Linked DNA regions of Caenorhabditis elegans. The protein of the gene in region 1 purifies or fractionates together with the protein of each later gene. This does not show direct contact. Each region holds a gene or a part of one and is shown in the gene's direction. Other genes may lie near its edges.

Region 1 (7,549 bases):
CCGCACAGTTTGCCGTTACTTCATATGTGTGCGTCCGAGTTCTCAAATTTCTGTACATTATGTGTAAGAGTGTACTTGTGCATTTTATCACACCGAAACACGACTTGGACTACTTGAAGGATACCTGGACTGGTATGTTATATTTTTATATTTTATTTTGAATAAAATACTATTCTGGGCTAAAGCTGCCTGAACAATATAGTTGAATCATGTTCTGAAATTCAAAATTCATTGCTACAGTGATTACTGGAGGAACCGATGGAATTGGAAAAGCGTACATTGAAGAACTCTGCAAAACAAGAGGGCTCAAAAAATTCTACCTGATTGGCCGCAATATCGACAAATTGAACAACACCAAGAAGGAGCTAGTGGAGCAACATGGATGCGAGGTTATGTGCCATGTCCATGATTTTGAAAAAGACGACTTGTCAGCTCTCCCCAAGGATCTCGAAACTTTAGATGTTGGAATTTTGAGTAAGCAATTTTTTCCAACATTTTCACAATGTATTTTTACAGTCAATTGTGCCGGAATTGCTCCACATATCATTGGAACACTGACCGAGCTGCCAGAAGGATTGGCGTCCAAGATTCTTCGTGTTAACCTGATGTCTGCTGTTAAGGTTTCAATACTCTGATACTTTTCCAAATTAAGGCTTTGTTTCAGATGACCGAGATGATTCTGCCAAACATGGTGAAGAAAAAGCGAGGAATCATTGTAAATATCTCATCAATGACGGTAAGCGCCTACCAACCGTTACCTACCTACCTACCGTAACTTCCGAGATTTACTAATCATATACTTCCAGGGCTGGAGGCCGCTTCCGTACCTCAGTTCTTACCCGGCTAGCAAAGCTGCATTATCCTTCTTCTCCGACTCCTTGTCAGATGAATACCGAGGAACTGGAATTCGTGTTCAGGTACGTATTTTCAATAGGTACACTTTAAATTTAAATCTTAACAATTACCGATTTATTGTCCAATACGTTTTAAATATTCCTTCAAGGCATTCAAAATTGAAATTCAAAATTTCAAATATATAGAGCCTTCGTTAAACAGCCTTAAATGCACTGAAATACTTTCAGAAAGCTTTTGAGTTGTGTTCTTGCATTTTGAATAATTGTAGATACCTAATCGAAAAACGAGCTGTCAAATGACATGCTTATCTGAAAATTTGTATTCTATAAAATGTATATATTAATACTTACAACAACGGAGTTTTTAATTTAAATGTCGCACGTCTAAACGTAACCAGTTACATGTAATGATTTTGCCAGAACTGATTCAATTTATTGTTAAACGTATTGTATTTTAACTCAAAATCTTTCTTCACAAACTTTAAAAAAAAACTCAAGTGTAAGTTTATTCATTTTTCCAGTGTCTCATTCCAATGCTCGTTGCTACCAAGGTCGCCTCGTATGAAGCTGAAGAAGCGAACAATATCTTCGTTGTCACCCCTGAAAACTTTGCCAAACAAGCTGTCAGAATTATCGGGACTAATTGGGAAATCACAACGGGCTGTGTGCAACATGATGTTCAGGTAAAATCAATGGTGTCTTAGTGGTCTGAATATTGCAAAATTTCAGGTTGCCCTTGGAACATTGTTCTCCTTTTGGTTTTTCAAAGTACTTTTCGTCCCTGTTGTTATGCTCGGAGTTCATAAGCATCGTGTTGCCTCTTATCAAGCGAAGAACTCGAGAAAGAATAATTAGAGTTTTTATCATTTCACGTTTATCCATTTTCGTTCATTTTTATCATGATTTTTTTTTATTGAATGCTATTTTTCAGATAAAAAAGTTTTCGTGTGAACTTAATTTTTTAGAATCTTTTTTTTAAAGTTGATCACCGATTGAAGCTTTTTTTGCCAGAAAAAACATTTCAAATTTTTCCCACTGGCCATACTCCACAGAATTGCTGCACACACTTGAATCCTGCAAATATGTTGGCTCTAGAGAAAGAAAAACAGTTTTAAAAAATTAAATATACAAATTTTTATGATCTACTTGTTTTTCGAATATTCCTATTGAAACATCTCGAGAAGCCAAGTTGTCAGCAATTTTTTATAAGCTTTTAGTATGTAGTTTGGATTGTAGTACTCTTTATTCAAAAATACTTTTGGACTTAAATAATAACATGTCTTTTTTATATTAATGAATATATTGATATTGAAAATTTAGCTCTTCCGGTGACTCACGGGGAATCATATTCTAGTTTGCACAAATTCATACGAGAAAAGTAGAAAAGGGAGGAAAAAAATCGTTTTTTGTTGCGATAAGGCTATAGTTCGCTTAGTCAGCCCCTCCTTAACGTGTATGCAACATGAATCACATGTGCTTGGTGAGTTGTCTCATCGAGAAAATGTTTCATTTCTCATTCGAAAAGTTATTGCAAAACCCGACCAATTTTCTTCTTATTTTGTTTTGTTTCGACATGTTGTTCGAGAAAAAAAAACGTGTTTTTCACCCAAAGCTTCCCCCGCAGGTTTATCGATTTTTCCAGTGACGGCTAATAATAAAAAAAGCGGTCGATGAGCAACGAGGAGTTTACAGCCGATCCTCTGTTTGCGTGAACCTCCGTTTCTCGATTGTCGAGTGATGATGGGAATCGCCGAGTCGCAGATTGAAAAACACGTCTTGCTGTCGAATGCTTTCCACCCGGCGAGCCGGCGGGCCCCGTTTTCTATTGACCTCCTCTTTCTCACAACAATAACACTTATTCACTTTTTTCACGTCACAAATAACTATCGCATTGTTCTTCGTTATCAACAAAAATAGATCGACCAAATTAATAATTTTTTCTTAGAAAAAAAAAAGAAAATTTCAATTATAAAATTCCGTCGAAAAACTTATATATTTCAAGCAAAGAAAACAGTTGTTCAATCTTTGCGGCCTAGGAAACCCCATCTCGGCCGCGCGCACTGTTTGTTAGTGACCAGTGACCGCTGTCCTTCCGCACCCTCATTAGTTCCTCACCCGCTGTCGTCACTATTTCTTCTCAATGCTCTCGTTTGATTTTATTGATTTTCTTCCTTCGATCTTTTGGATTCCTGCTCAATTTTTACAATTTTTGCAGAATGTCGGAATTCTCTCAAACCGCATTGTTCCCGTCTTTGCCTCGCACTGCTAGAGGAACTGCCGTAGTTCTCGGTGAGTTTTTATATTTTTAATTGCACGGTGATTTTACTATTTAATACTAGAAATTGAAGCCGTATGGCTGCATTATATTTTAATATGGCTGCAATACTAATTTTCAGATAAATTGTTTCTTTAAAATAATTAGTCTTCACTTGCAAAAGTAGAAAATTCTGAAAATTCATATTGCGCAACATATTTAAAGTATTTCGTAGCGAAAACCACATTGATCCTTTAAAAAACTACTGTAGCGCTTGTTGTTACTGTAGTTTTTTTGTCAATTGTGCGAAAAATAGTAAAAATCATTGATGAAATATTTAAGTATTAGTGAGACGCTTTGGCAACAGAAAAAGTGCAAAGTGAAACGGTTAATAGGAAAGCTAAATCACGTTTTACAAAAATACTTCCAGGCAACACCCCCGCTGGAGACAAGATTCAATATTGTAACGGAACATCGGTTTATACTGTACCAGTTGGAAGCCTAACCGACACCGAAATCTACACTGAGCATTCTCACCAAACGACTGTCGCCAAGACAAGCCCAAGTGGTTATTATTGTGCTTCTGGTGATGTTCATGGAAATGTTCGTATCTGGGACACAACTCAAACCACCCACATTCTGAAAACTACTATTCCGGTGTTCTCTGGACCAGTGAAGGATATTTCGTGGGATAGCGAAAGTAAGAGAATTGCCGCCGTTGGAGAAGGCAGAGAACGTTTCGGTCATGTTTTCTTGTTTGACACTGGAACGTCTAATGGAAATCTTACCGGACAAGCTCGCGCTATGAACAGCGTCGACTTCAAGCCATCACGCCCATTCCGCATTATCTCTGGATCTGATGATAATACAGTGGCGATTTTTGAAGGACCACCATTCAAATTTAAAAGTGTAAGTGATTGTAATATTGGATTAGTTTTTGAAAATTCTCCACAAAGGTTCCGCTTAAAGTATTTCGAAATACTACATGTTATTCTATTAGGTTTGTGTTAAGTTGTATTTTTTAATTCCAAAAAAGATAATTTCGCGTGAGCTTTTCGCTGAAGTTTCATGCTTTTTATTTGATAAAACATTAAAAAAAACACTGAGCGAACTTTTTTTTCAGAAACTATCAACAAATAATGTAGAAAAAAACCTGAACGTATGCGTGAATTTTTAATACTACCGGAATGCAAACATCTTTTCAGTAGCTTATTGTCAGTGCAACTCTAACAGAGATTTAATTTTGATAGAAGGAAACTTGTTTTAAATGACTCGAGTGTTCCAAATACGTTTTCAGACAAAAAACCAGTTTCAAATTTATTTTCCAATTTTTCCAGACTTTCGGAGAACATACGAAATTCGTCCACTCTGTGCGCTACAACCCTGATGGCTCTCTGTTCGCCTCGACTGGAGGAGATGGAACCATTGTGTTATACAACGGAGTTGATGGAACAAAAACCGGAGTCTTTGAAGATGACTCTTTGAAAAATGTCGCTCATTCTGGATCTGTGTTTGGCCTTACCTGGAGCCCGGATGGTACAAAAATCGCATCGGCTTCTGCTGATAAGACCATTAAAATTTGGAATGTGGCTACATTAAAGGTTGAAAAGACTATTCCCGTTGGAACTAGAATTGAAGATCAACAACTTGGAATCATTTGGACCAAGCAGGCTCTTGTGTCTATCTCTGCTAATGGATTTATCAATTTTGTCAATCCAGAATTGGGAAGTATCGATCAGGTTAGATACGGACACAACAAGGCGATTACTGCACTTAGCAGCAGCGCTGATGGAAAAACTCTTTTCAGTGCTGATGCTGAAGGACATATTAGTGAGTAGTTTCAGTGCTTCGAAATTTAAAACTTGTTTTCAGACTCCTGGGATATTTCCACAGGAATATCAAACCGCGTGTTTCCGGATGTTCACGCCACAATGATCACCGGAATCAAGACAACCAGCAAGGGTGATTTGTTCACCGTCAGTTGGGATGATCATCTGAAGGTTGTTCCTGCCGGAGGTTCTGGAGTCGATTCTTCCAAAGCTGTTGCCAACAAATTATCTTCGCAACCTCTCGGTCTCGCCGTTTCCGCAGATGGAGATATTGCAGTTGCTGCTTGCTATAAGCATATTGCAATTTACTCTCATGGAAAGCTCACGGAAGTACCAATTAGCTACAATTCTTCCTGTGTGGCATTATCGAACGATAAGCAATTTGTTGCTGTTGGTGGACAAGACTCGAAGGTCCATGTGTACAAACTCTCTGGAGCAAGTGTCTCTGAAGTTAAAACAATTGTCCATCCTGCTGAAATCACATCTGTCGCATTTTCGAATAATGGAGCTTTCCTCGTGGCAACCGATCAATCACGAAAGGTTAGTTTTTGAAAAAAAATCATTTCTATTATAGATTTCAAAATTCAGGTTATCCCGTACTCTGTTGCGAACAACTTCGAGCTAGCTCACACAAACTCCTGGACTTTCCATACCGCCAAGGTTGCATGTGTTTCCTGGTCACCGGACAATGTCCGTTTGGCGACCGGTTCCTTGGATAACAGCGTTATTGTATGGAACATGAACAAACCATCTGATCATCCGATCATCATTAAAGGTAAATATTTCTCTATTAATTTAACACATTTAACAACATTTTTATAGGTGCTCATGCTATGTCGTCTGTCAATTCGGTAATTTGGCTCAACGAAACTACAATTGTGTCGGCCGGACAAGATTCGAATATCAAGTTCTGGAATGTACCTTTTTAAGTCGAGAAGCTTTTTGATTGCCCTCTAAGTATCCTTAAAATTATATTGATTTTCATAATTATCACTAATTTTCGTGTTTACTGCAAGCACTATCATCTCCTTCGAAGCCTTAAATACACGCGTAAATAAAAACTATTGGTGCAAAGCTGTGTTTCGATTGACATCCTTACAACATGTGTATTTGTTTTCTAGAAGTGATGAGAAAAAAAATCATTCTAGTGAAAATGCTTTATTTAATAGAAAATTAATAAAACATATGAAATCTAATAGGCAACGCAGGCGGTTGGGATCTTGACAGACTCAACGAAGGAGACTGGGAAATCGACCAACTCGGCAACAGTTTGCTCACGAGCTTCCTTCAAGAAACGACGAGCGTTCTTGCTGTGGCGTGGCATGCAAGTGAAACGGATCTTCTTGTTGGAAGTCTTCTCGGATTCGAGTCCACGGCGGCACTCAGAGACTGGCTCGATGGAGAAGCAGACGCGGTTGGAGAACTCCTTGATGAGGGTCTTCTTGACGAGTTCTGAAAAATATGTATTTTGTTAAAACTACACATCATTCAGCCTTAGACTAACCCTTCTCAGTTTCCTTCTCATCGTAGTTGCTCTCGTAGTCGGAGCTGCTCTCGTAGTCGGACTTCTTCTCTTCTCTGTTCCATTTGTTTCTGTAGTTCTTCTTCTCGGAGATGCGGTCGTTCTCAACTTCGCATTCCTGAAAATGAAATTTACATTCAGTTCATTGAAAAAATCTGATTACCTCATTCTTGAGAAGGTAAGACCGGTGGAATTCCTCAACATCCTCAGTTTCGTAGTTGTCAGCGGTCATGAACTCATTGTCTCTCTCACCGTCATTGTTTCCGCAAAGTCCGCAAAGTTGGTTTTGTGAAGCAACGGATGGCATGTTGGTCTTGACAGTGTATCCATCGAAACGAACCTCTCCTTGTGGAAGACGAATAACAATAAGGTTATCTCCAAGAATTTCGATACTGAAAAACGAGATTAGAAAAATTCATGTGATTTAGAGTTAAAGCTTACTTGTATTGTTCAAGTTCAGTTGGGTTAACCTTCTTTCCGTCAACCTTGACAAGGAACTTATCGTCAGACTTCTTCACAACAATTTCTTCCTCACGGCGGACAACCTTAACGAGAAGCTCCTCAGAGTTCTTGTTGATCTTCTTGGCAAGAACAGCGAATCTTGGCTGTTCAGAGCAATCCTTGGCAACAAGAGAGTAGCAGGTGGTGAGTGGAGCGCGGTAGATCACGTTGTCAAAGGTAGAAACCTCAGATTGGTCAACCTTGCAGGTGGCTCCGGTCTTTTCCCAGGTTTGTTGGAACATGGCACTACGAGCAATAGTTGGGAGAACGACGCGTGGAATACGAACATTCTTCAACTCAACTTCTTGTTCTGGAGTCTGGATGGTCATGTTCATGTATTGGCGGGAAAGTGGCTCAACAGAAAGTTGAAGAACAACGCGGCGATTCTCGTTTTGGACACGCTTCTCAGAAACAGTCCAGAAGTTGTATGCCTTGATAAGGTCGAAAATGCGGGAGAAAGTGTATTCAGACTGTGGGGTGAGCTTGTACTCAGAGACAACATTGACTTGGTTAAGACGAGCAGCCTTGATCAAAAGTTCGTACTCTGGAATTCCCTTGTACTCACGCTCGATGTTGCGGATGAACTTCT
Region 2 (9,825 bases), on another chromosome or scaffold:
CTGTAAATATAAATTCAAAATTAAAAGTAATAAAATTTTTGCCAACCGTTTTCTGTCTTTGCTCACTCCGATTCTTTGAGATCCGGGGGAAATTAGTGGTTGACGTCCGCTCATGACCTTTTTTCGATGTTTTCCATTCTTTTTTAATCTGAAATATTGGGAATTTTAAAACTTAAGTAAGGGTAATCAAATGAAAATCACTTTTCAGTATCCTCTGGAGCTGAAAAAGTAAGGTAAGAAGTAGTTGGTGAGGCAATTTTGAATATTGATGCACGAATGAGACAACTGATATCAAGAAAGAGGTCAAACTGATAAGGCGTCAAAAAATAGAATCTCATCGAAAAAGGAAAACAATTTCTTTAAAACTTTACAGTACCTGTGAAATTTTAAAGGAGCATAGCTTTTTCCATTGAAAAGGTCCCGCAACGAAATTGGTACTGTGAATTTCAGAACTCCTCTTGGACAAATTCTTTTTGAATAAATCCTTGCTTTTTATTAAAAAATTGTTCCCTTTTGAGTATTTATTTCTGTTGAACTGGTAAAATATATTTAAATAAATATTAATTTAGTCAAATTGCAACTCTTTATTAGTGGAAGCGCCTTTCAAAAACCTGCTCGTATCGATTTCGTTGGCTAAAATGCGAAAAAAGTAAACAAAATTCCTATGAAGCCTAATTAGCGTCTGATAAAGTTTTTAACTTGATACGTTACTATTGTAAAAAGATTTTAAATTCTTTTTTATGTAAATTCGGAAAAAAATTTCCAATAGAGTGTTTGTCATCTGAATGATCATGCGAATGGTCATCCACCAACCGCTTCCGAAAAAATCGTCGAATTTCCCTGCCGCACTTTTGCAGTTTTCCTCACGCCCCTCACTCCGCCCACTTGGCATTCAGCCAACAAATACCCTCGAGGTGGTGAAAGTGCAGCTGGCACGATGCCAAGTAGGCGGTTTCTCTGCGTAGCGGCCGCGAAAGTGTGTGTCATGCGTGTGAGACGATACAGAAAGCGGTGTCCCAGTCTATGACTACTCTCTTCATTCTGCATACTCTCTCGCCACTGTCTGCACGCGTCTCGTGCAAAAGTGCGCTAGTAATTGCTCTTTTTCGTCGAAATGACGTCATTTTTTCGAATTTTGCAAATTGATTTTTCAGTAACAGGTAGAATTTGATTTCAGCTTTCTGCTTTTCTAATAAATTTCAATGTTTTATCGTGAAATTCTGAAGAAAATGGCATCCAAAGTGCATTATTTTGTTTTAAAACTTTTGAATTTTTTTAAATTCTTCATTTTTTATTTAAAAATTAAAAATTTTCTGTTAAAATCAACAATTTTCGTTTACAACACTTGCATTTAAACATTCCCTGCGCTCGCTTTTTGTTTAGTATTGCATTGCAGAATATTTAGAACATTGAATGCCATAAGTACTTTGTTTTTTCTTGATTATCTCTTCTTCCGTTTCATTTTTTCTGTATCTTATTCGTCTGCGCGTGATTCTTTTTTTGTAGAACCTAACAATTTTCTGGTCAGGTGGAATAAGTCTTATGACATTGAAAGAAACGCTGAAACTGAACGTTGTGTTGTTCAAACCAACAAATATTTTGTTTTTTTTTGTATTTAGGTGTTCGTTTTTGTTGTAATTCTTATTAGAGTTCGAATAGTTCACTGATTTTCCGAAACTTTAGACGCCTTCCTTGATTTTTTTATTATTCTTTTGAATGTATTTTCTGTGAAACTCGAATTTCTTACTACTCTTAAACCCAATTAACTTCTTATAATCATTTTTCATTTCAGTTTACACTCCAAGAGTGTCCCTGATACTTTAATATTCTCTTATTCTGTATTTGTGTGCTTGTTAATAACAAAAAGCACCCGGATAAGAAGATTGAAAAGTGTCGAACGTTCATTCCGTGAAGATGAAAAAAGCGGCAGATCGGCCGACTTCGGCGGTGAATGGTAGGCATGAATCGCCCGCTACGTCCACAAATAACACACAAAATAGTGGAACGCCCAGTTTGAATGGACAAGATCCACTGAGGTAAGCTATCATGAATTACATAAGTTAAAAAAAAACATTAAAATTCTTAATTTCAACTAAAACCTCTAATTTTGTTTTTTCCGTATCGATTATTTATTGTTTTTTAAATCTTTTAATTGGCAAAATCAAATTTTCAGCCAAAATAAAACAATTTTTCTGAAATTTCTTGAACTGCAACTACAAATTTTGAATTTTTTTTTTGATGAATTTGGTTATGAAAGTCGGTCTTTTTTAGGCCATTGTTAGTATATTACATCTTTAAACACTAATTTTTCCTGATAAATAAATAATCCAAATAGTTTCAGATCAACGTCATCATCACCTCTATTTGGCACAGAACCACTACCAGAAGATGATCATGCTTCATGTCCATACTGTCAACAAGATTTCCGTAAACCGCGAGTTCTTGATTGTCTTCATTCAATGTGCGAAGATTGTATTATTGCTCAACTTGATGGACACCTTCAAGCAAAGTCAGCTGCCATTGAAGAGAAGAAACGAGCGACTGCAGCAATGTTGGATTGTGAATTGGAAACACCGAAAGTTAAAGAACGACCAACACCTCCTGGCGTAATCCGATGTCCAATTTGTTCACAAGAATCGCATGTTGGAAATGATGTTCGATATGTTCATGCCATGCTCCTGGATTTTGTAAGTTGAATTTTTTTCTGAAACATAGTATTTTGGTCTTTTGATCTACCAAAAACATTACTAAACTTGGATTCAATGTTTTCAATATAATATTTCCAGGTTCGTCTTGCCGAAATGAAGGAAGTTGAAGTTGAGAAAATGGTTGCCCACCATCGCAAACCATGTACTGCCTGCAAATCCGAACAAGAAGCCATCGCATTCTGTGATCAATGCTCTTCAGATTTATGCGAAAACTGCACAACTGCTCATACTGTCATGAACCTTTTCCAAGGTCACACTGTAACCACATTTGCTGATCTTCGGCAGCCTGGAGCCCATCCAGAACTTCGTCAAGTCATGTGCTCCACTCATAATCAGCATATGAGATATTTGTGTGCAGCATGTGAAACAGCGGCTTGTAAGCAATGCCTGGAAGTTGATCATTTGAATCATAAAATCATTGATATCAACGAGCTTGTGATCAATGCTATAAGGGAAGATGTGACAAGTACTGTGGATCGTGTCGAAAAGAAATATAACAATTCTGTGGCTGATATGAATAGCCTTCCAGACAAGTCTCAACAGTTGAATGAACAGTATGAGATTGCGAAGTATCGAGTTGATAAACATTATGAGGAGTTACGCAATTCTATTGAGGTAGGGCATCAAAATTTAAATGTTTTGGAGTTAAAGGGAAAAATATATTAAAATTTCAGGAGGCCTATCAAAAAAGCGTGAACGATCTCGAAGAGGCGCGAATCCGTCAAGAGTCTAACATTGATGAAATGTACCGTAAATCACAAGTTAACGAAGCACGAGTACATGATGCCATCAACTTCACTCGCCGACTTCTTACCAAAGGAAATGGTCTCGAGTTGGTTGTTTCGAGGAAAAAAGTTATTCAACAATTTGGAAACTTGTCTCATGCTATTCCATCTCATGGACACCAAGTGGAACTTGAGTTTTATACTCCATCGAAAAAACAAATTGATCATTTTGTGCATCAACTAACTGGAACAGTTATCGGACGAGTGATTCAGCCAACTGTTAAAGACGTTGGAAATGCAACTGCAGCATCAACTGATAGAAGTGAAAGAGGAGGTTCTCAACCAGGAGGTGGAAGATCTAGCTCAGCAGCTAATCCATCACAACAAGATGGTAAATTGATTATTTTCTCTATAAATTGATTATTAATATTGATTCTTTCAGAATGGGGACGCCCTGTTTATTCACAAAATCCACAACTCGGTGCAATTGGTGGAGAACGTAAGAAGAACACACAGAATGGAACCAATGGTACTCGTGGAGACAGCAATGCATTCGGCGGATGGCCACCAAGCAGTCATCCACCAGAATCGACAACTCCCCCACCTGTTACTGGACCTCAAACTATGATAACTGGAGCTCCGACTCAGACAGCTGCTCCAATTGTTTCTCAACAGCAACTTTCGAATCTTCCTAATGCAGCTGCGATGGCTGCTGCGGCTGCTGGTATGCGTCCTGATCTGGTTGCCTTGGCTGCAAATCACATGGATTTGGCAGCACTTACGAATGGATCAACAAATGGATCACAAACTCCATTGCCAGAGTCTATTTTCCCAGCGATGTGGAATGCTCGTCAAGGGCTTCCAGCAGTGGCTACACCAACAACTACTGGTCTGTCAACTAATGCTTCAGCCGCCTATATGCAGCAGAAGTTAGCAGCGGCTCAACTACAAGCACTTGCCAGCCATCGATTGAATCCACAAATAATGTCAATGGTAAGCTCTATTTTTGAAACATTCCTAAATACTATTCATTATTCATATTATGCAGTCACAACACATGCTTAATATTTATTTTCAGAACAACCTGCGCACCAATCAAACAATTCAAGAGTTTTTGGCGATGAATGCAATGGGAAATTTGAGTTTGAATCCTCAACTCACATCAGCTGCAGCTGCAGCACTAGCAGCTACTGCTGCCGCAAATTCGGCTGTAACCACTACTGCTTCGGATGTCGGTCAATCGCAGAATTCAGCGAACGCACAACGAGTCAGCGATCTGAAGGTGCACAGTGTGTTCGGAACATCTCAACAAGGAAGCACTATTCGAGAGTTGCATTGTCCATCTGGATTCTGTTTGTCTGACACTGATGATATTCTGATTGCTGATACCAATAATCATCGAGTTGTCGTATGTGGTCCACCTCATCCATGGAAGATTGGACGTCCAGGAACGGATGACGGACAATTGTGCTTCCCAAGAAAAGTGATTGCACTGAGAGGAGAAGCTGTCCGTTATGTGGTACTCGATAAAGGCGGTGACGGGAAAACTCGTGCTCAGATCTTCGAAGCTCGTGGTGAATTCGTCAAACGTCTCAACATGATGGCTTTGGTTCCACGTGGCGGAATAGAAGTATCCGCTGCTGCCGCAACCCCGAATGGACAACTTTTACTTGTTGATACTGCTGGATTTGTGTATTCTATTGATGTAGATGCACCACGAGTCACATTCTGGTTCGATGCTTCCACTCAACTCGGAGAAGCTTCTGATGTTGCCATGTTTGATAACCTGATTTATATAACGGATTTCAAGCATCATTGTGTCCAAGTTTACACTTCTGAAGGTACCGTAATAATTTTCTGGATTAAAAAAAAGTGTAATATTTTCAGGAAAATTCATCCGAAAAATGGGAGAACCATCACAGACCCCATATCCAATTGGAATAGACGTCTCGAAGGCAGGAGAGGTTCTTGTAGCTGATACTCATGGAAATCATCTGCACGTTGTTGTATTCTCACCCGAAGGACAACATATTCATTCATTTACTCACAACGAGTTTAGAGTAAGTATCTTGAAAATTATTTAGAAAGTGCAGTTATATTGAACAATTTGTATTTTCAGCTTTCTCGGTGCGTTGGTCTCCGAATCGCTAAAAGTGGTCACATTGTGACGTTGTGTAAGCATAACCACACTCTATTCGTCTTCAAACCATTGATTCTTCCAAATGGACTTCCTGTTCCAACTCCAGTTCCTCATGCAACTTCGCTCATCAGCAAGTTTCAGTGAGGAGGTTACCCCAATTCCTATATAAGCTTTTTTTCTTGTACATTTCTTTTTTCTCATTTCTAGCCGTCTTCTTTTTTTTCCTTCTCCCTTTGCTTATCCGCCTTTTTGTTGTCCCCGGTGTTGTTCCATTATTTTAAGTTCCTAAGTTTCTTTCCCCTCCCCATATCTCTTAATTCTTTCGTTTTGAGACCTCATTTGCCACCCCTCCTCTCCCTCAAGCTTTTTAATACAAAAACGTCTCTTTTTTATTTTGCTCAAATTCTTTCCAAAGATTTTAAGTTTTTTCTTCTTATTTCCCATTTATCCAGTTTATACCATTTTATTCGTTAAAATGTAAATACCGTTAGCGTTTTTTTTTTCAAATTTACCCCTGTCAACTTTTCAACCCGCCCCCGCCTTTCCGTTTCAAAAATGTTCTTGTTTTTTCTTTCTTATAAGCCTCATCTTAGGACTGCATCGTTTTGTATCTATTTTAAGTGAAATTTGAATTTCAGCTCGCCCAAAAAAAATCAAAAAATTCCAAAAAAAATATAGGGCTCCCTACACACTCTTACTCACTTCCGTTCATTTTTCTCGTATATTGTTATCCTTGTTATAATTTCAGCGTTTTCAAACGGGAGATCAACTTTTAAAAAACTCTGAAACTATAAAGTTTATATTTTGAACTACAACAAAACCTCGTCATCGTTGTCCCAAATTCTATTCTAAAAAGCGTCCCTGTGCAGCAACCATTTCTTTTCTTTCTCCAAATATTCTCGCATTCAGCCAAATTTTATCAGATTTTTATACTATTTTACGAAAATGCTCAATTTCCCCCAAATTCCCGGCTTTTTTTTCTATGTTTCCTCATTTCTAGCGATTCTAGAGGTCAGTCATATATACTCTATACGTTGAGTTAAACGCTCTTCATTGAAATTCTAGTGCATTTTTCAATTGAGATCGCTTAACTTTTTCCTATACATACAGTGTAATTCTCCCCCCTAGTCCCGTCGCTTTCAAATGTTTCTTATATATCCCAGTAGGTACCACAAAAAGCTCTTCTAAAAGCACATTTCGTTACTCAATTTCTTCATATTCCCATTTTTGAAATCGTTTTTATTCGTTTTGTACATTTCTTTTTATTCTCATCTATCGAATCGAACCTCATCTTTAATCCTGTTTCGTGATGATTATAGACACAATTATCTACTCTCTTCCATCATTTTTTATAAAAGCCCCGTACCTTTCCCACTGAAATTTCAAATTTGCCGCTCAAAACCATCATTTTCTTCTTTTTTGTGAAATTTTTATTGGAGCGAATTCTTATTCTCACTTTTTTGTGCTAACCACTTTGATTTTTCCCCCATTTTTATTGAGTCCATTTCCGTGGCGAATCCAAAGCGCTTTCTAGTACACATTCTCAATGTTTTCTACAAGGCTATTTCTCAGAATTTTATTATAATTACCATCTTTTTCAAAATTTTAACTTTGATGAAAATAAAGTGTTAATCAAAAAAAAAAGTATTTTTCGTGTTTTTCGTGTTTGCTGTGCGTTAGATGTGCGCGTGAATATATCGAAGATGTGAATCAATGAAGAGAAAAGATACGCAGAGATATTGAACAATGATCAATAATTATTATGGTCGAATGACGAGAAAACGATAAAGGTACATAGATATCAAGACTTTTATAATTAAATCATGCTTCGCTGCTTTTTCAAATTTGATTTTCTCGCTTTTTTGTCTAGATAAAACTGAAATTTACAGCTGGATTTAACTGAAAATGTCTACTCAAAATGAAGAATCTGAAGAATCAGCTCGACGACCTCAATCAATTAGTCATTTGGCACGAGTGGAAGTAGAAGAACCAGCAAGGAAAATGAGTGAGATTTTAAATTTAAAATAAAAATTAACATGAATTACGTATTTTCAGGATTAATGTTCGGTGAGAAACAAGTGGTCTTCATCCGATCGGATGGTTTGAGAAGCCGAGTTGTTCGGGAGAATATGAAGAAGAAGTTGAGTCAAGAAATTGAGAAAAAGGAAGATTTGGACACAGATTCACCAAATCTCACAAAAGTGATTGATGATGTGGCAAGTGGAGCAACAGGATCATCTTCTCTTCCATCTAGTTCCACTGAATCATATTCAACTTCATCATCATCATCTTCTTCGTCTTCTGACTTGAATTCTGCATATTCTTCGACATCTGAGCCTCAAGCAACAAGTTCTTCTGCTCCAGAGTCTTCTACCAACTCCTCTGCATCTCCAGAAATCAAAGGAAACAGGAATTACCATCCACCGAGGGAATTTCATGGTGCATCGTGAGTTTCGTTAAAAATTAATGGATTTTAAACTCCCTCATTTCGGAAAATGAAACAAAAGCTGTGAAAACCCCATCTTTCATTCTCTTTTTTTCATGAAAGTTATTTTTCGAAAAAAAACATTTCATTAATTAATATTAAATTTAAAAAATGGCACTCCGATTCAAATTTACTGTTATACACAACTCGCATACTACATGTACAAAATTTTTACAATTTATTTTTTTTGGCTGAAAAAGCTACATTTCCCATCATTTTCGGTGCCTTTCTCTGTCGTTGGCATCTAAATAGCCAATTTATTGTTGTTGTTCTTTATGGTTTCAACAGTACTGTTAACAGTTAACTGAACATATAAAATTAGTAAAATTTGTTTAAGCCGAAACGCTTTCGCGGTTATTTTCAAATTTTTGAAGTTTATAAGCAGCATAAACCTGAATAAAAATGCACTTTTCAGAACCATGGTAAGCCACAAACGACGATGGACTTATCAGACAGCATGTGACATCAATGCAGCTGAACAGAGCGGTGATAGGTAATATTCTCTTCTTCAGCTTTTGCCAAAAACCTCAGAAATGTTACAGTGAAATGTATTACATCGCCCATCCACTCCTACCAATGCCACGTGGCAGCGGACGCAATGAAGTAAGCACGGCGACTCGAATGAATTATGCGGGTCAACAAATTGACAATCGAAAATTTCGAGGACAGTCAAAAGCTGTGAATCAGTTTGCGAATACTGAGAGTGTTACATGTGAAAAGTTGGTTTTCTTTCTGTTTTGGAAGCTAAAAGATATAAATATTCATTTTTCACAGATGCGGAATGCGTTATTTCTTTGAATCAATACAAATGCAGGAACGTATCTCATATTTGTTACCACCCAACGAGGAAGATCTTCCAATAGCACTTTTTGAGTGTCCTGTGTGCAAAATAACTACAAAAGTGAAATAATTTTTTCAAAGTTTCCATCACCACATCTCGATAAATCACACTGAGAAACGGAATCCTAATAGATCGAATTAATCAAGCGCCAATTATGTCTCCATTCAATGGGTGGGGCGGTTTTCAGCCTCACAGAAAAAAAAGAAACTGGATGATAAACGACCCCTCCCTTCTAATTTCATGAACTTTTTTTCCTTTTTTCCAGATTACTTTTTCTAGGTTTTTGGTAGTGATTTATATACTCGTTGCCTTTGAACTTTGTCCCATAGTCTTTCAAATAGTAAGTAATAAACGATTTTTGTCGATATGGTGTACTTTTTCCTTTTTTTTGGTTTTTTGTGTGCTTCCCTTTGTTGTTGTAACATGTGTGATGTTCGTGTGTGACTACCTTCATTATTTATTTCTATTCTACAAACTAAACCACATTTTGAAACTTTCGGCACGAAAAAAAGTTCAAAACCAAAAATTGCCATAGGAATTTCCGTGAAAAACGCGCATTATTTATCTATTTACTCTTCAAATGTTTTCGTTTCGGATTCACCAATGATTTTGCCTCACGGAAAAGATACGCTGCCGGTCTTCTAATATTTGTTTGTTTTTTGATTTCCGCAAATTTATGCTTTCTGGTCATTTTTGGTTTGCGAAGTTTTCAAAAATTAGAAAAAAAAACTTGAAAAGCGCAAATCGCGGCATACGGTATTGTTAAAGGGACGTTCTTGCTCGGGATGAGGTCTCGCAACGCTCGGTATAGGATTACTGTATATCATTATTTTAATATCGATTTTCGACTTGATATTTTTCTTCTTCACAATTTCAGCGTTAACTTTTTGCTTTTTGTTATTAGTTCTAAGTATTCAACTCGAAAA
Region 3 (5,512 bases), 8.0 Mb from region 1:
CAAAACTTATACATAGATATGTTAAATATAAATTTTGCAGGATTTTGAAAAAGATGCATACAACCAACTGCAAATTTCCTTGCGAACAACTATGGAAAATATGCCGGAAATTCGTCCGCTTGATGCATTCATTTCAAGAAGCGAACTTCGAGATTTGGAGAAACTCGCCTCAGTGAATGTTTCAAAAGTTAGCCAACAAGGCCTGAATGCGGTTTGTAGATTGGAAACATAATTGAGCAATTTTTAACTTTGAGTTTCAGATAAAGCATGCAATGGATGAACTCGACTTAGCATCCAAAACGCGGGAATTCGAGGAATCTCTAGACGCAAATTCGGGTCGTCCTAAGGCAGTGACTCTTGTTCTTGAACAAATCAGAGAGTTAGAGATTCAATTTGCGAAACCATTAAGGAGCAGATTAGAGGCATTGTACTCTAACATTACTTCACTCGATGAAAAGTGAAAATTCTTTAAATGTTGAATTCCTATAAAATACTTATTCCAGACTTTCTCAGCTTCAAGTTCCTGTTTCTTCTCTTCTTGTAAAGCTTCAGCATGCTCAGGCTTTACTGGCTGAAAACATGAGAGAGCATTTCGGTCGTGCAGCTAAAGAAGAATTCCAACAAATGGTTAACAACATCGACCAGTACATAGTTCATGTCAAAAGCCAGGTAATAACGCAAAAGTGTTTCAAAAAATTCTATAATTGCTTGACTTTTCAGATGGAGAGCGAGGTCACGTCATGTCAACCGTTGACACAAATTGCCCGGCAAACAACTGCTGCTGTTTGTGCTTACACAATTGATCCATATGTAAAAATGACACAAAAATTGGGGAACTGTTTTCAATTTATAATTTCAGAACGGGACATGGATGTGTATGCTGATCTGCCTAGTTCTGTTGATACCAATTGTGATAATTTCAAACTCATTAATAGGTTTATACTCTAAGATGCACGCGTTCCCAAAATAGTAAGTTTCACAATTTTATTTAAAGAAAAGTGTCACAATAACTTTAGCTTAGCCATTTTTTCGAAAAATAACCCTTAACTTTGCAATTTTGAATATAATTTTATATATTTCAGCATTGTGGAACCACCATCTGAAACACATCACATGTCATCGTTCATTACCGATACATATGACACTAGGCCTAAGCCGTAAGTTAGCATATTAATATCAATTGGAATATTTTTTGAAACTACACATTTTGAAATGATCTTTCAAATACTCGGTATCAGAAATAAAACGAGTTCAGTTTGAAACACAAAAACCAACAATAAAGATCAAAAAGTTGATGTAGCAAATTACCAACAAATACTGTTTTAGAAAAATTTTGCATTATTACAAATGCGACAAAAATGTTTAATGTTTGCCAGAACCCAAAAAATATTAAATAATGAAAAAGTAACAGCCCTGCTATTGAAATCTGGATATGAAAAATGTTCTAAATATAAATTCAAATGTTTCAAAAAACTATTTTTTTCAGTGGATACGCAAACTACACCTACACAGATGATTATCAACGTAATTATCGATGAAGAGCCTCAGAAAATGTATTATCACAATTGCGCCTACTTAATTAAAAAATGCATGTATTTATGTCGACAATTCAGTTGAAATTTTCTTTCATTTCATTTGATCGCACCTAGAATCTACGAGTATCATTTTCCCATTATTCATTTCTCCCAGTCCCATGTTCTTTTTCTTAAAATCTACTCAAGTGAACCGCTCAATTCTACGCACACAGTTTTTCTATTCAGTGCCATTTTTGCATTTCCGTTTTTTCCTCAAATTCGATCTTCAGTTGTTTGACTTTTTTTCAGTTTCCGTAACTTTTACTGATAGAATTATCATTTATGTGATGATTCCCCAATTGCGGTTCGTATTTGAATAAAAACATTAAACCACCCTCCACGTTGGTTCAGTTCTTCCAAAAGCGGATTGAAGTTGATAAGAGTTAAGATAAGAACAAATGTTGCGTGCAAACAATTCGTGATTTATTGTTTTTATATTTAAAATAATGTATATAGTTGTCCACGTTTTGGTGTCTCTTTAAAAAAATCATAAAGAACTAGCACGCACCGTAAAACTCACTACAAATAATTGAAAATCCCATTTATTTATTATTCATGCATTTATTAAAGAGTCGTTATTTTCATTGTATTTTGCATCAATAGATCTACAGTTAAGAAAAGCAAAGGTTACATTGTTGCAATTCTAACCCTCCACATTTCAATTACTATCTAATCGTGATAAGACAAGGACACACTACGTCGTAGTATGATACGGACAGTGTCCTCGCTCCTCCGGCAATCGATGGTCGTGTTCAATCATTTTCATATCTCTCCTTTTTTTTGGTTTTATTTGTAAATTTTAATGAGTATAATCTCAACAATTTCCTCTTATTTTTAACTGAAAAATTTAGGAAATAATGAGTACGACTATTCGTGCCTCGCAGCTGGCTTCGTCAATTTCTCCAAAAACTGAAGAAAAGCAGCCATCGGTTTTTGATATAATCGCTCAAGAAAATCTTGCAACATCAATCAGACCGGCTTTACAGCATCTTGTAAAAGTATGTTAAGAATAAAAGTGAAACGAATATTTGAAATTGAACATTTCAGTATCTAGCATTCTTCAAGCCAAAAACATTTCTTTCGGTTCACCGAAACTTTGATGAATACTACATCATATTCGATCTCATTTTGCAAAACCACTATTTGAGAAACTATGGTACGTTTTTTAATTCCAATTTTTCACCTAAAGATAATGTGTTTCAGGAGCGTCGTTCACGGAAAACTTTTATTCTATGAAGCGAATAGCATCAGGCACAGGAAATCCACCGAACGATGGTAGGGAAAGAATAATGTCGCTTATTACATTAGTCGGATGGCCTTATGTAGAGAATAAATTGAATCAGCTTTATGACAGGCTCAAGGAAGTTTACGAATGCAGAAGCTGGTCATCAATTAATGTATGTATAGACAAATAAATTTGAAATATCGTTTATAATTCCAGGGCATGAAAGCAAAGTGTCAAAAAATGTTTGTGATCATTTGGCCATACATCAAGACAGCTCTTAAGGCAGTGAAAAGTGCTCTACAACTTGCATACATTTTGAACCGCAGCTCCATTCACTCGCCATGGCTTTACTTCTCAGGCGTGATTCTGAAACATCTTACGCCAGAAGACTTGGAAGCTTTCAATGCTGTTCCTCTTCATCTCCAAACTGGGTATCAAATTTCTAGAGGAACATTAAACGAACATATTCATTTAAGATTCTTCAATCGCATCTGGAGATTTATTTTGGGACTACCTGGAATCGTTTCAAGGCTCTTTGCTTATGGGCTCTTCTTTGTACAGTTTTTGGATTATATGTACAACACAGATTTGGCAAAACTTACAAAGACTGGCCTTGACGGAGCTATTCCTTCACCTCCACACAAAATGATCATATCTGAATCGGAAATTTTGAGTTTGGACACCAATAAATGCCCAATTTGTTTGAAGAAAAGAGTTAATGATACTGCGCTTTTTGTATCTGGATATGTATTCTGCTACACATGTATCAACCAATACGTAAACACTTATAACAAGTGAGTTTTCTTTATTTTAAACTATCAATTATTTGAGAAAAATTTCAGATGTCCAGTGACAGGATGCCCGGCAAACGTTCAGCATTTAATCCGTTTGTTTGTATAGCGCTACAAATTTAATTTTGAATCATGTTACGACAAATAAAATTACAAAAATATTCATTTTTAAAACACGAGCAAATATTCCAGCAAATTCAACTTTTCGTTGTGTTGGGCATTGTACAAAAAACGCAAGTTTACAAATTATTCTCATCAATGACAATTGTTGGGACTTGATTTGTTGAATCGATGGTTTCACTAACATTTTTACTGCGTCTTAGACCCCTTCTTGGGTTAATTCTTGCGTTGGTTGCATCTTTCCGGATTGGACTTCTGATTACGTAGCTGAAAGTTCATTTATGAGTTCTTGATCAAAAATTCATCTGAAATAGAATTTAAAATCGTACACAATATCTCCGGACTCTAGTTCCAAATCTTGAGCAGGATTGATGATGACATATGAGATTTGCGACTTTTCATCGCTTCCTTCGAGCACTGAAATTTAAAATACAGTTCACCACGTCTAACCGCACCAAGAAAAATGATCACACTGAAGCAATTAGAATTAAACTTAAAGAATCTTCAACCTTATTATGAAATGAAATAAAAGTAAATAGTAAGTATTAAAGTAAGTTTTCTAATTTTATTTTGTCTGCTGGTTCACACCACTCTTCGGCTTATACCTGTTGATCTGCACCGGCTAGCATATTTCCAATTGACTAGAAAGGGTTTAAAAATAGAAAACTAATTCCGAATAAAACTTACAAGTATGAGTGTCTTTTATATTAAGAAGTCTCATTCGATTTTTCACATGATCATACATATCTTTGTTTCTTCCCATTTCAGTGTTTTCAAAATCTTTGCATTGTTCTTGAAGATCAAGGGATACCTGAAAATATTAAAAAAAAAAACAATTAGTCGATACTGAGCAGATTTGTGTTTACCGTCTTAGTGTCCATCTTTTTGGTTCTGAAAATACCGATAGGAATATCAGCCACAGAGGAGCATAGTTTTTGATACAATCGTCCATAATTCCGAATCCATAAGTCATCCGATGTGATAACAAACTGAAATATTTATCACATGAAGGTTCACTGCAATTAGTTTGATTGTACCGAAGTTAAATATCCGCCATCACTATGTTGATCAATTCCAAGAAGAAGTCTGACTAGATCAACCACAAACGGTTTGATAATAGCCTGAATATATTACGTTTGAATATGCGGAAATTAAAAAATTAACCTGATAAAGTAATCTATCCAGCATGTTAGCACTAAAAACACCTCCTTGTGCAAATGGTAGTCGGAACATGAACGGCATATGAGAGCCACGTTTTCGTTCCTTTTTTTCAAATCTGGATTGAGCCAATGAATAAGCATTATGTGGATTGAACTGCACGAATCGCATGTTTGTCGCATGCGTCAATTCAGTGATCATTCGAAGTCTTGGGAACATTCGATGAATCTTTTGAACTGTGATAATTGTGTTACAATCTGCAGTATGCTCCTCTGCCATTACAGCTGTCTCCTTGACAACAACCACATGCTCCGCACTGCTTACACCAGCTCGGAGAAGGCAATCCAAACTGTAAGATGATGTATACTTATTGACGAACATATTAATGAACATGATAATTGGTCATCACTGCAACTCCCGCCAGACATCCGAAATTCAAAGACGAGTAGTTTATTATTACATTAAACTAAGGAATAAATAAGTTAGTTCACAGAGTTCACGTTGTACGATCTTCTTAGCCACGTCGTGGGTCAATACACGTTGATACCCAACAATAATAGATAATTTATTTCATGTATTGTTGAATTAAATTTATAAAAACATTCACTTACTTTCCAACTTTTCCCTTCATCCAATAAACATCT
Region 4 (8,360 bases), 2.6 Mb from region 1:
GCAAAAACCCAAAGGAAAATCACAAAACCGAAAGAAAAAAAAAAAAGAAAAATGAGAAACAAAATCTAGGTATCTAAGATTTTATTACACTGTCGATAAGAAATCCAATCTCATTTTGCACAATGTAGAAAAAAAACAGTTCGAAACCTGGACTGTTTGCTAGAAATGGAGAATGGCACTGTGTTTGTTGAACGCGCGCCATTTTCTAGTGTTATCAATTGAATGGAGGAAACAGAGAAAGATAACTAGTACGGTGGGTCGCGGATGATGCGGCCAAGGCAATTGATAAAGAGCTGCGGAGGGGCAAAACGGACGGATGAGGGGAGGATGTCGTTGGAGATAAAATCAATCGATAGCGGTCAAATGAAGAAGAACACACACAACCAGACATACGCACACACACATATACACGACAGGAAGGGGTGAAGAGGGAGTAAGAGATGTGAGTAAGAGAGATAGAACAACTTGGACAACCACCTAACATCTCGACCTCTCGACACTTATCATTTGGAGCTTCCTGAAATCTCAGTGAGCAGCAAAACTATTAGTGGGTGTTTCCCTGAATTTTTGAACTGTAGACATCGCTCAATTAGTATGTTTAATTGCAGTACAGACTCATGACGAGACGGTGCAAATAAAAAAAGATGAAGAACCTTGTCAATACAAGATGCAACGGTTTTCCGAGTTTGAGCTATTGGAATACACTTTTTGTATGCCGACAACCAAATGAACGGAAATCCAGTTCTTGATTTTTGTTTGACAAATGTCTTGATTTGTTGCCGAGTGAAACGAAAAAATGAAATGAGCGTTGAGACCCACGCGGAGAAAATTTTTATGGAGGCAGAGTTAAAAGGGCTTTGATGTTTTGATTAACCTAATTAAAAGCATATATCATCAACCTGAGGACAACGAGGCAAGAATCGAATTGCGGGGGACAAGATGAGGAGATCCTATCACCGTGTCATCTCAATCCTCGGCTGCGATGGTTTCACTTTCCACCGGTGTGGCCACAGGGGGAAAACCTTCCTGTGCGTATGTATGTGTTATTATCATCGCCTATATCATCAAGCACACATACACATATAATACACACATACACGCTCAATTCATTGAAATGTAGCGAGAATGCGAAAACTAGTTCGATGTCGTTTCAAATTCGGATCAATCTGATATCAATTATTGTTTTCTACTTGATGCCGCCGGTAGGCTTTGACACTAACGAGATAAAGGAATGTCCCCCGGAATTTTAAAGACTTTTTTCTCTTTGACAAACAGATTGACAAGGTCGGAATGTGTGTTCAAAGTTGGAGAATGTAACATAAAAAGTGCGCAATTGAAGATAAGTTGAAATAGACAGTAAATTAGTGAGTTCGAATCTTACCAACTTGTACCTATTGCAGAAGCATGTAGATTGTTTTCGTTCAATTATCACCACTTCTTGAGTACTTAGGCTGTTTATGCCAAAGTTTTCTGTATATTTCAGTACATTCTCAGTACATAGCTAATCGATAGTTATCCAAATTTAGTATTCTATCAACTGAACTGAAAAATATTTACCAAAACATGCAGAATTAGCTTCAAAAAAGGGGACTAATGTAAAACTTTTAGACATTTTTTTGAAAAATTCCTCATAAATTGGGTTTTAAGGCCATTTTGAGTCTATCGAGGGGAACAATTTCTACTTTTTCAAAAAATAAAACTTAAAAAAGCCGCCAAAGTAGAGAAATGGGGGGGGGGGGGGGGGGAGGTGCATGTCTGAAAGGGAAAATATGGTAATACTTAATAAACAAAGTTTACATGATGCGTCGACAAAAATGTTTCTAGGGATAAAAAAGTCGAATATCTAAAACCAACTCTATGAATAGGTTATGTAAACATTCGACGATCGACGGTGCAGGCCTCTGCAACTTACGCCATCTTGGTTCGTGGCAAAGGTCAAATGTAGGATTGGTAGATTTAGCTAGGCTGTCTCACACGCACTCCCGTTTGTAGTCTCTTTCTCTCTCTTGTATCATCGCCGGCACCATCTAGCAACGGGACCACGTTTATGAGACAAGAGTGTGTGAGTAATGAGTGTTTTGGAGCATACTTTCAAAGATTACACACATTCCTTTGATAAAGTGGATGAAGGAAAGGAACGGATATATTCCGAAAATAAGTAACAGATTTTTAACCAATTAATCTTGTTAGGTTTGAAATATTATATTATTTTCAACTTTTATAACTTTGTCTTTCATTTGTTATCTATCAAAGTGGTAAAAAGAAAAAGGATGGCACAAAGGATATTTGGCAATTGAACAAAAACGGAAACACTAGGAGACATGCATTCGAAATTACGTTCCGAAAGGTCACAAGTTGACGTTTAATGAGAGTTCTAAAACCATAAAAAGAGGACAATCTTCTGATCGCAAAAACGGACTCTTTGCCCAGTTTTAAAATGGTTCCAAATAAGCAATTGAATTGAAAACAAACCAACAACAGTTTTAGATCAAAGTTCATGGGGATGAACTGAGGGGGAAAAGTGCACGGATTGAGTTAATGGACGATCGAGCGAATCTATCGGAAACCGGATTTGTTCGAGATGCTGGTAACTTTTCTATCATTTAAGTGGGGGCTTTTAAATGGATTGCATCGAATTGGGTGGGAAACTTTTGGGTATTAGTCAATAGTTTTTTATTGTAAGTTTTGCTGCAAAATACAACAGTAAAACTTGAAAGTCATTTCTATTTAGAAAAAAAAACAAATCGAAAAAAGTAACAGCTGTACAAATCGATAAGAACACATGCACTGTCTGGGCAAAGGGTGAGGGCGGGAAAACAATGTCCGCAGAGAACGCATTAATTATTCACAAATAGTTTAAAAGAAAAAAAAACGAATTCTTACTAGAAATTCAACACGTTTTTTGTATTGTTTAGAGAAAAACCAAAAGGAAACGGAAACCTCTCATCTGAAGTGGTATAGTGCACTCAAGTCCGCAAAAGTGTACATGCGGACCTGACACCACATTTGACGACACCTATGCTAATTGTTGTTGTTATATTCCATTTCCAGTTTGTTCCATGTTTCACATCATATTTCTATGAACACAGTTATTTCAGATGGATTTTTTCATGAAACTTGCCAAAAGTGACGTCGGCCAGATGGCGATGAACACAGTCCGACAAAACGTGGAGGATAAAATCAAAGAATACGCGGATGCTCAACATAAAGCAGCTGGTTCAACGTCTCAAGCCAGCAATCCACAGGCACAATCGATGGTGAGTTTTGAACATTTTGAGTTTATGAAAAATTGAAAAAAAAACTTGAGCATGCACTTTCTAAAAATAAATTTAAAAAATATTTTTTCTATAGTTTTTTATAAATTTTTGTTTAAAAAACTACCACACAACGATGAGGAAAACGATGTTTTTTTAATGTGTCAAAAATGTGCTCCCAGATTATGGTTTTTTAAATTATTAAAAACCTTTACCTATTTATTTGCACAATTTTCAGTGGCCGGGACCTGTGGATAAAACCTTGAAATTTTCTATCAACTCAAAGCTTTCTACGAACTTTTCACAAGCTACATATGGTGATGGATATGCACTTGTCTACACACCAAACAACTATGTAAGCTGAAATAACATTAAAAATACACGTAGAAACTTTCCAGGTTGTTTATTTCAATAAGAATGCATCTTACATTGACGATCTGGAATATTTGTGGAAAGAATTTGACGAATCCATCACACATCTGAACAATCCTATCAACGTCATTAATGATTTGGTACCGGTTATGCTGAGAGAAAAGGAATTACAATCCGAGTGCTCAGCAGTATATTTTGCGATTTTTTCTGGATTTTCAAATTATGTTAAGGAGGAGAAAAAGAAAGAAGGAGATGGGTAGGTTACTGTCAAATCAAGTTTTATTGAGTTAACAAAAACTGAACCGTTTCAGCTTCTCAATGTCAAAACTAAATAGAAGAGGTGATACTCCCGTTCATGTTGCCGCTCGATTTGCATCTCTTAGTTTACTTCAAATGGTCTGGGACAAATATTTCGATCCATTGACAATGAATCATAATGGTCAGACAATTTTGCAAGTTGCACGTCATCGTCCAGAAATTGTAAAGGTGAATATTTATTAAAATAAAAGATACGAGGTGGAAAAATGTGTCTTGGGGGGATTTTGCTGAAAATTACAAAACAAATGCCTTAATAGACATTAATAGGCGTTATATCAATAAATGAAAACTATAGAAATTGGTTAAGTCTGACGAAAAAAGCTTGCATATGGGTGGGACTCACTGAAAAATTAAAATCCGTACAGATGAAAACTGTGCTCCGGATCATTTTGCTGGATGATTTTTGCAGCTTCAATTTGTATACAAGTTTTTCCGATTCTATATTTTGAAAAAAAAAATGCTTCAATGTAAGAACAAATTTGGAAAACAATATATTTTTGCAGTACATCAACAGTCATGTTACCGGAGAAGTATGCGACAAAATGATCATAACCGCAGAAACTCATCCCAAGCCCGAAACTCCCGATTACCCGCGATCTTTTGAGAAAATTCTAGGTGAATACCAAAAATTACAACATTTTCTTTATCAACATATTCAGAATACTCAATCAAAAATAACTTGCCACATTGCTTATTGTCACCGGCAGATGTTCTCAACAAATCATCATTTTCACTGAGAGATCTTGAATCGTAAGTTGCCACATTGATTGTATCTATCTTATTAGTACCGTTTTTCAGAGTGCTGAGAATTCTCTACGTGCAAGACTCGGACTTTTTGGGGAGACTTTTGAACTCGAAGAATGTGTTTCACACATTTGACAATTTCGTGAAAGATGTTTGTTGAAATGACTATATTGTTTTTATTAATCAAATTTCCAGCACCAAAAGTTGATGCTCAGTTTTGCCAAAGCTGAAATGATAAACGCTCAAGATTTGAACGGACTCACACCAATGCATTATATAGGTAAACTGAACTACATTTAAATGGCAACTCGTAACTTTTTCAGCAAAAAATGGAAACCTAAGCACAATCATACTTCTTTGGTCGCACGGCGCGAATGTTAATATGCTTGATAACAAAGGAATGTCTCCAATGGATTATGCTCTTGAAAGAGATGACGTCGATATTGTAAAAGCATTTCTGGCGTTTGATGGACATTCCACCGACCGAATTTTGAAAGCTGCACTAAATTCCAGACGTAAATGTGCAGAAGTTCTGCAAAAACACTTCAAAGCACTTGAAGAAGGAAAAGAGAAAAATATTAAATACAATCTGGGTAACTTTGATATGTTTCTATTCGCTTTATAACATTCTGCGTCTTTCAGAAAACCCTTCTCATCGTCGTTGCCAAAACTTCCCGCCATTGACCAAGAAAGATTCAGTCATTTTGTCTATTGACGGAGGTGGTATGAAAGGAATTCTGGCTCTTCAGCTTTTGAAGGAGATCGAAAAGGTTGTTGGAAATAAATTCTTGCGCTGGTTCAATCATATCGGTGGAACATCAACTGGATCAATGATCACTCTTGGATTGGTCAAGTACGGAAATATTGACCATGTCATCAGACAATATTTCAGAATGAAAGTAGGAAAATGAACATTGAGAAAAGCGATTATGATATGGAAGATCAGGTGCTAGTTGCAATATCTTATTTTTTCAGGATGATATTTTCATTGGATCCAGACCATACTCTGGCGAAGGTCTGGAAAATGCTCTTCTAAATGAATTTGGAAGAGATACGCTCCAGCAACTCGGTGAGAAGAATGGTATTCGCATCAGTATCCCGGTTGCTCGAGTCGATATCAGCCCTCCGCTACTCTACATGTTCCGCAGTTATAACATCAGAGACCCGTCATTTGATCAAGCTGGCATGAAGCCTGTCTGGGCAGCTGCAAAAGTTGTTAGGGCTTCTTCGTGAGTCACAGCTGGACAGAAATGCACTTTTTGATTCGTATTTTTCAGAGCGGCGCCATCATTCTTCCCACCTGTTGATGGAAAGTTTATGGACGGAGGACTAATCGCTAATAATCCAGCTGTTGACATTCTTACTGATTGTCAACGCCTGGAATATGAGAGAAACGAGCGTAATGTGTCAAAGATCATGGTTTCAATTGGAACTGGGTCGATGCAAAAGAAAATTGAGAATGTTGACTTGATGAAGCCAACAACAATGGGTGGAATTGTGAACACGTTCAACCAGATTCTTCACTTAAAAGACGTCTTTATTGAGCAGGTGAGTTGCAAGCAATTCTTTTCAGATAAAAATGGCCAATAAAGTTTGAAGTTTTGCGCAGATCAATAAGTCTGTCAATGTAATTCAATCAAAGTTGTCAAAAAGTTTGTGTGCTCACTATTAGGCAACTCAATAGCAGAAAAGCCCAACTACGTTAATTTTAATCACCGGTGCCTTTCATAATTAGCAACGAACGTGAATGTTTCTTGAAAACATCTCAATTTATTCTCATATTGAAAACGCATCCTGAAAAGAGTTTTGACTTATTAGTTTGAACCAAAAATGGTTGTTTCAAATTCTAGTTTGAAGTGTGATTTCGGTGCTAAAATAGTTACATGGACTAATTTGACAAGTTTTCTTCGTAAATCTAAAGCTTCGTTCAAAACATGAGTGTATATGACTTACACTCGATAAACCGGAACTGTTATTTCTTAATTTTTTGTTAATTTTGTTTTCTATTTCCAATATTTTTTCTTTCTAGAATGGATTAACAACCTTTTCGGGGAAAACATCTAATTATATTGTCACCTTTCATTTTTCCACACTTTCAGCTCACAGCAGCTGATGGAGTAACCGTCGAACGGGCTCGTTGGATGGCTGAAGCCATGGGAATGGCTTTCTTCCGTTTCACTCCAAACCTTGAATTCCCAGTTGCTATTGACGAGAAGGATGATAGTGCGTTGCTGGATGCAATGCTCGCTGTCAAGGTAACCTAATGGATGACAATTTGATTCATTATGTATTGACTTTTTGCAGTATGAAGCTGTCGCAATGCGAAATGAGATGTACATGCTTTCTTCGATTCTCAAATAATTTGAGCCCTCTCGCAGATATTCAATAATCTATTAGTTTTGCTTTTCTCATATGTGAGAATACACATAAGTTCATAATTTTGTATACATTCTAAGTCTCAGTTGTGAAAAATCATTCCGTCATAATACATAGAAGTCTATTTGAACCGAGTAAATATTTTTTCAAGCTTTGTCGTATTTCCATTTTTGTTTATCTTCTCTGTCTTTTACTAGAGGTAAAAATCCATCAAGAAGTATTTTCGTTCAGTGCCACTCAGCTTTTTTTTATAATAATGTTTTTCTCTCAACCAAAGAATCAGTGAAGAGAATTTGCTCCTTTGATCTTATACAAAGAAAAAATAGCATCTGTCATATACATACGTATCTAGTCTGCACTTTTTTTCGTTCAATAAAACCAACTTTGCCGTTTTCCTTATTGTTGCCCAGACTACCAAGTACATGTGCGCAGCAGCGGCAGCCACACTTTTCCGATTAGTAGGTTTAATTTGATCAGTCTGATTTTTTGAATCAGAATGATAAAACGAAATTACTTTATCAGAATATCAATAAAGAATGTGTAAACTTCCGTTTTACAACTTACTATCACACGTATCATAGCTCCACAGCCACTCCACTTGTGACTTTCGGACGAATAATGTTTTCATTTTTCAAACATTTGAAGTTGTATTCTTTTGGTCTCTGATTTCTTGACTGTATGGCAACGATTCCCACCACCACCTCCCATTCTTTGATTGTTATCTGCGGTCTCTCGTTCTCTCTCTCTCTCTCTGTCGAGTACATTGCGTTTTTCACAAACCGCATGAGGTAACAAATTGGGCAAAGGGCAGGTACTTACACCAATATGGTCGTGAGCCGATCTCTGAGTTTCTTATGCTCCTTTTGTAACCACCATCCATCTGAATGGCGTTTGTGTAAACTTATATGAAGTGAACCGTCATTTGCTGAGTTGGTTCTCTGCGTCTTTTTTCTTCTAACCCCCCGCATGACTGTCTGCATCAATATGCTGACACACTCTCTCTTCCTCATCCTTCCTTTGACATATACACTCTCCGAAAAACCGAACCCGTCGTTAGTTGGTGTTTCATTCCATTTTAGTTTTACTTTCTAGTTTAAGGTTTTAAAGTTTTACTTTTCTTTCAATCTGTGTGTCCCAAACTTTTCTATTTATTAAATGTTTCATTTCAATTTATTTTAACTTCGAAATTGAATTAAAAGTTCCCAATTTTCTCAATTTCTTTAATTTTCAGAAACATCTTTTTCGCTAGCTCTCAAACATGTCGTACGGTAGATCAAACAAAAGGGCCCGAACGAA

Evidence for each region.
Region 2: the proteins of unc-78 (region 1) and nhl-2 fractionate together in Caenorhabditis elegans (co-fractionation; one large-scale study listed by BioGRID). This does not show direct contact.
Region 3: the proteins of unc-78 (region 1) and prx-12 fractionate together in Caenorhabditis elegans (co-fractionation; one large-scale study listed by BioGRID). This does not show direct contact.
Region 4: the proteins of unc-78 (region 1) and C45B2.6 fractionate together in Caenorhabditis elegans (co-fractionation; one large-scale study listed by BioGRID). This does not show direct contact.

Annotation. Positions count from the first base shown.
Region 1 is NC_003284.9:3,407,136-3,414,684, reverse strand, and holds unc-78 (Actin-interacting protein 1), read left to right. Parts: upstream 1-3,069; 5' UTR 3,070-3,070; coding exon 3,071-3,143; intron 3,144-3,538; coding exon 3,539-4,017; intron 4,018-4,445; coding exon 4,446-4,938; intron 4,939-4,980; coding exon 4,981-5,477; exon of another isoform or gene 5,478-5,525; coding exon 5,526-5,712; intron 5,713-5,759; coding exon 5,760-5,866; 3' UTR 5,867-6,011; downstream 6,012-7,549. Other genes in the region: putative oxidoreductase dhs-27, read left to right, coding at 1-132, 241-474, 517-620, 665-736, 807-917, 1,376-1,537, 1,584-1,709; vit-5 (Vitellogenin-5), read right to left, coding at 6,130-6,389, 6,442-6,577, 6,623-6,851, 6,901-7,549. UniProt on the Caenorhabditis elegans protein: Induces disassembly of actin filaments in conjunction with ADF/cofilin family proteins. Regulator of actin organization in myofibrils.
Region 2 is NC_003281.10:4,891,047-4,900,871, reverse strand, and holds nhl-2 (B box-type domain-containing protein), read left to right. Parts: upstream 1-1,786; 5' UTR 1,787-1,914; coding exon 1,915-2,036; intron 2,037-2,341; coding exon 2,342-2,687; intron 2,688-2,786; coding exon 2,787-3,323; intron 3,324-3,382; coding exon 3,383-3,824; intron 3,825-3,875; coding exon 3,876-4,426; intron 4,427-4,511; coding exon 4,512-5,274; intron 5,275-5,320; coding exon 5,321-5,493; intron 5,494-5,552; coding exon 5,553-5,717; 3' UTR 5,718-7,214; downstream 7,215-9,825. Other genes in the region: tag-340 (START domain-containing protein), read right to left, coding at 47-114; F26F4.6 (TFIIS-type domain-containing protein), read left to right, coding at 7,479-7,578, 7,629-8,019, 8,474-8,551, 8,601-8,777, 8,833-8,968.
Region 3 is NC_003284.9:11,390,870-11,396,381, forward strand, and holds prx-12 (Peroxisome assembly protein 12), read left to right. Parts: upstream 1-2,423; 5' UTR 2,424-2,431; coding exon 2,432-2,572; intron 2,573-2,621; coding exon 2,622-2,730; intron 2,731-2,777; coding exon 2,778-2,971; intron 2,972-3,015; coding exon 3,016-3,230; intron 3,231-3,275; coding exon 3,276-3,593; intron 3,594-3,641; coding exon 3,642-3,699; 3' UTR 3,700-3,750; downstream 3,751-5,512. Other genes in the region: prmn-1 (PRoMiNin (5-transmembrane domain glycoprotein) homolog), read left to right, coding at 41-211, 261-457, 504-669, 721-810, 860-969, 1,083-1,157, 1,487-1,538; slo-2 (RCK N-terminal domain-containing protein), read right to left, coding at 3,830-3,977, 4,040-4,127, 4,398-4,521, 4,577-4,699, 4,748-4,831, 4,875-5,217, 5,480-5,512. UniProt on the Caenorhabditis elegans protein: Component of a retrotranslocation channel required for peroxisome organization by mediating export of the PEX5/prx-5 receptor from peroxisomes to the cytosol, thereby promoting PEX5/prx-5 recycling.
Region 4 is NC_003284.9:6,049,960-6,058,319, forward strand, and holds C45B2.6 (phospholipase A2), read left to right. Parts: upstream 1-3,098; 5' UTR 3,099-3,140; coding exon 3,141-3,257; intron 3,258-3,492; coding exon 3,493-3,609; intron 3,610-3,652; coding exon 3,653-3,882; intron 3,883-3,937; coding exon 3,938-4,112; intron 4,113-4,447; coding exon 4,448-4,559; intron 4,560-4,603; coding exon 4,604-4,694; intron 4,695-4,742; coding exon 4,743-4,839; intron 4,840-4,883; coding exon 4,884-4,968; intron 4,969-5,011; coding exon 5,012-5,281; intron 5,282-5,330; coding exon 5,331-5,587; intron 5,588-5,663; coding exon 5,664-5,917; intron 5,918-5,965; coding exon 5,966-6,236; intron 6,237-6,787; coding exon 6,788-6,943; intron 6,944-6,992; coding exon 6,993-7,049; 3' UTR 7,050-7,214; downstream 7,215-8,360. Other genes in the region: gln-1 (glutamine synthetase), read left to right, coding at 8,323-8,360.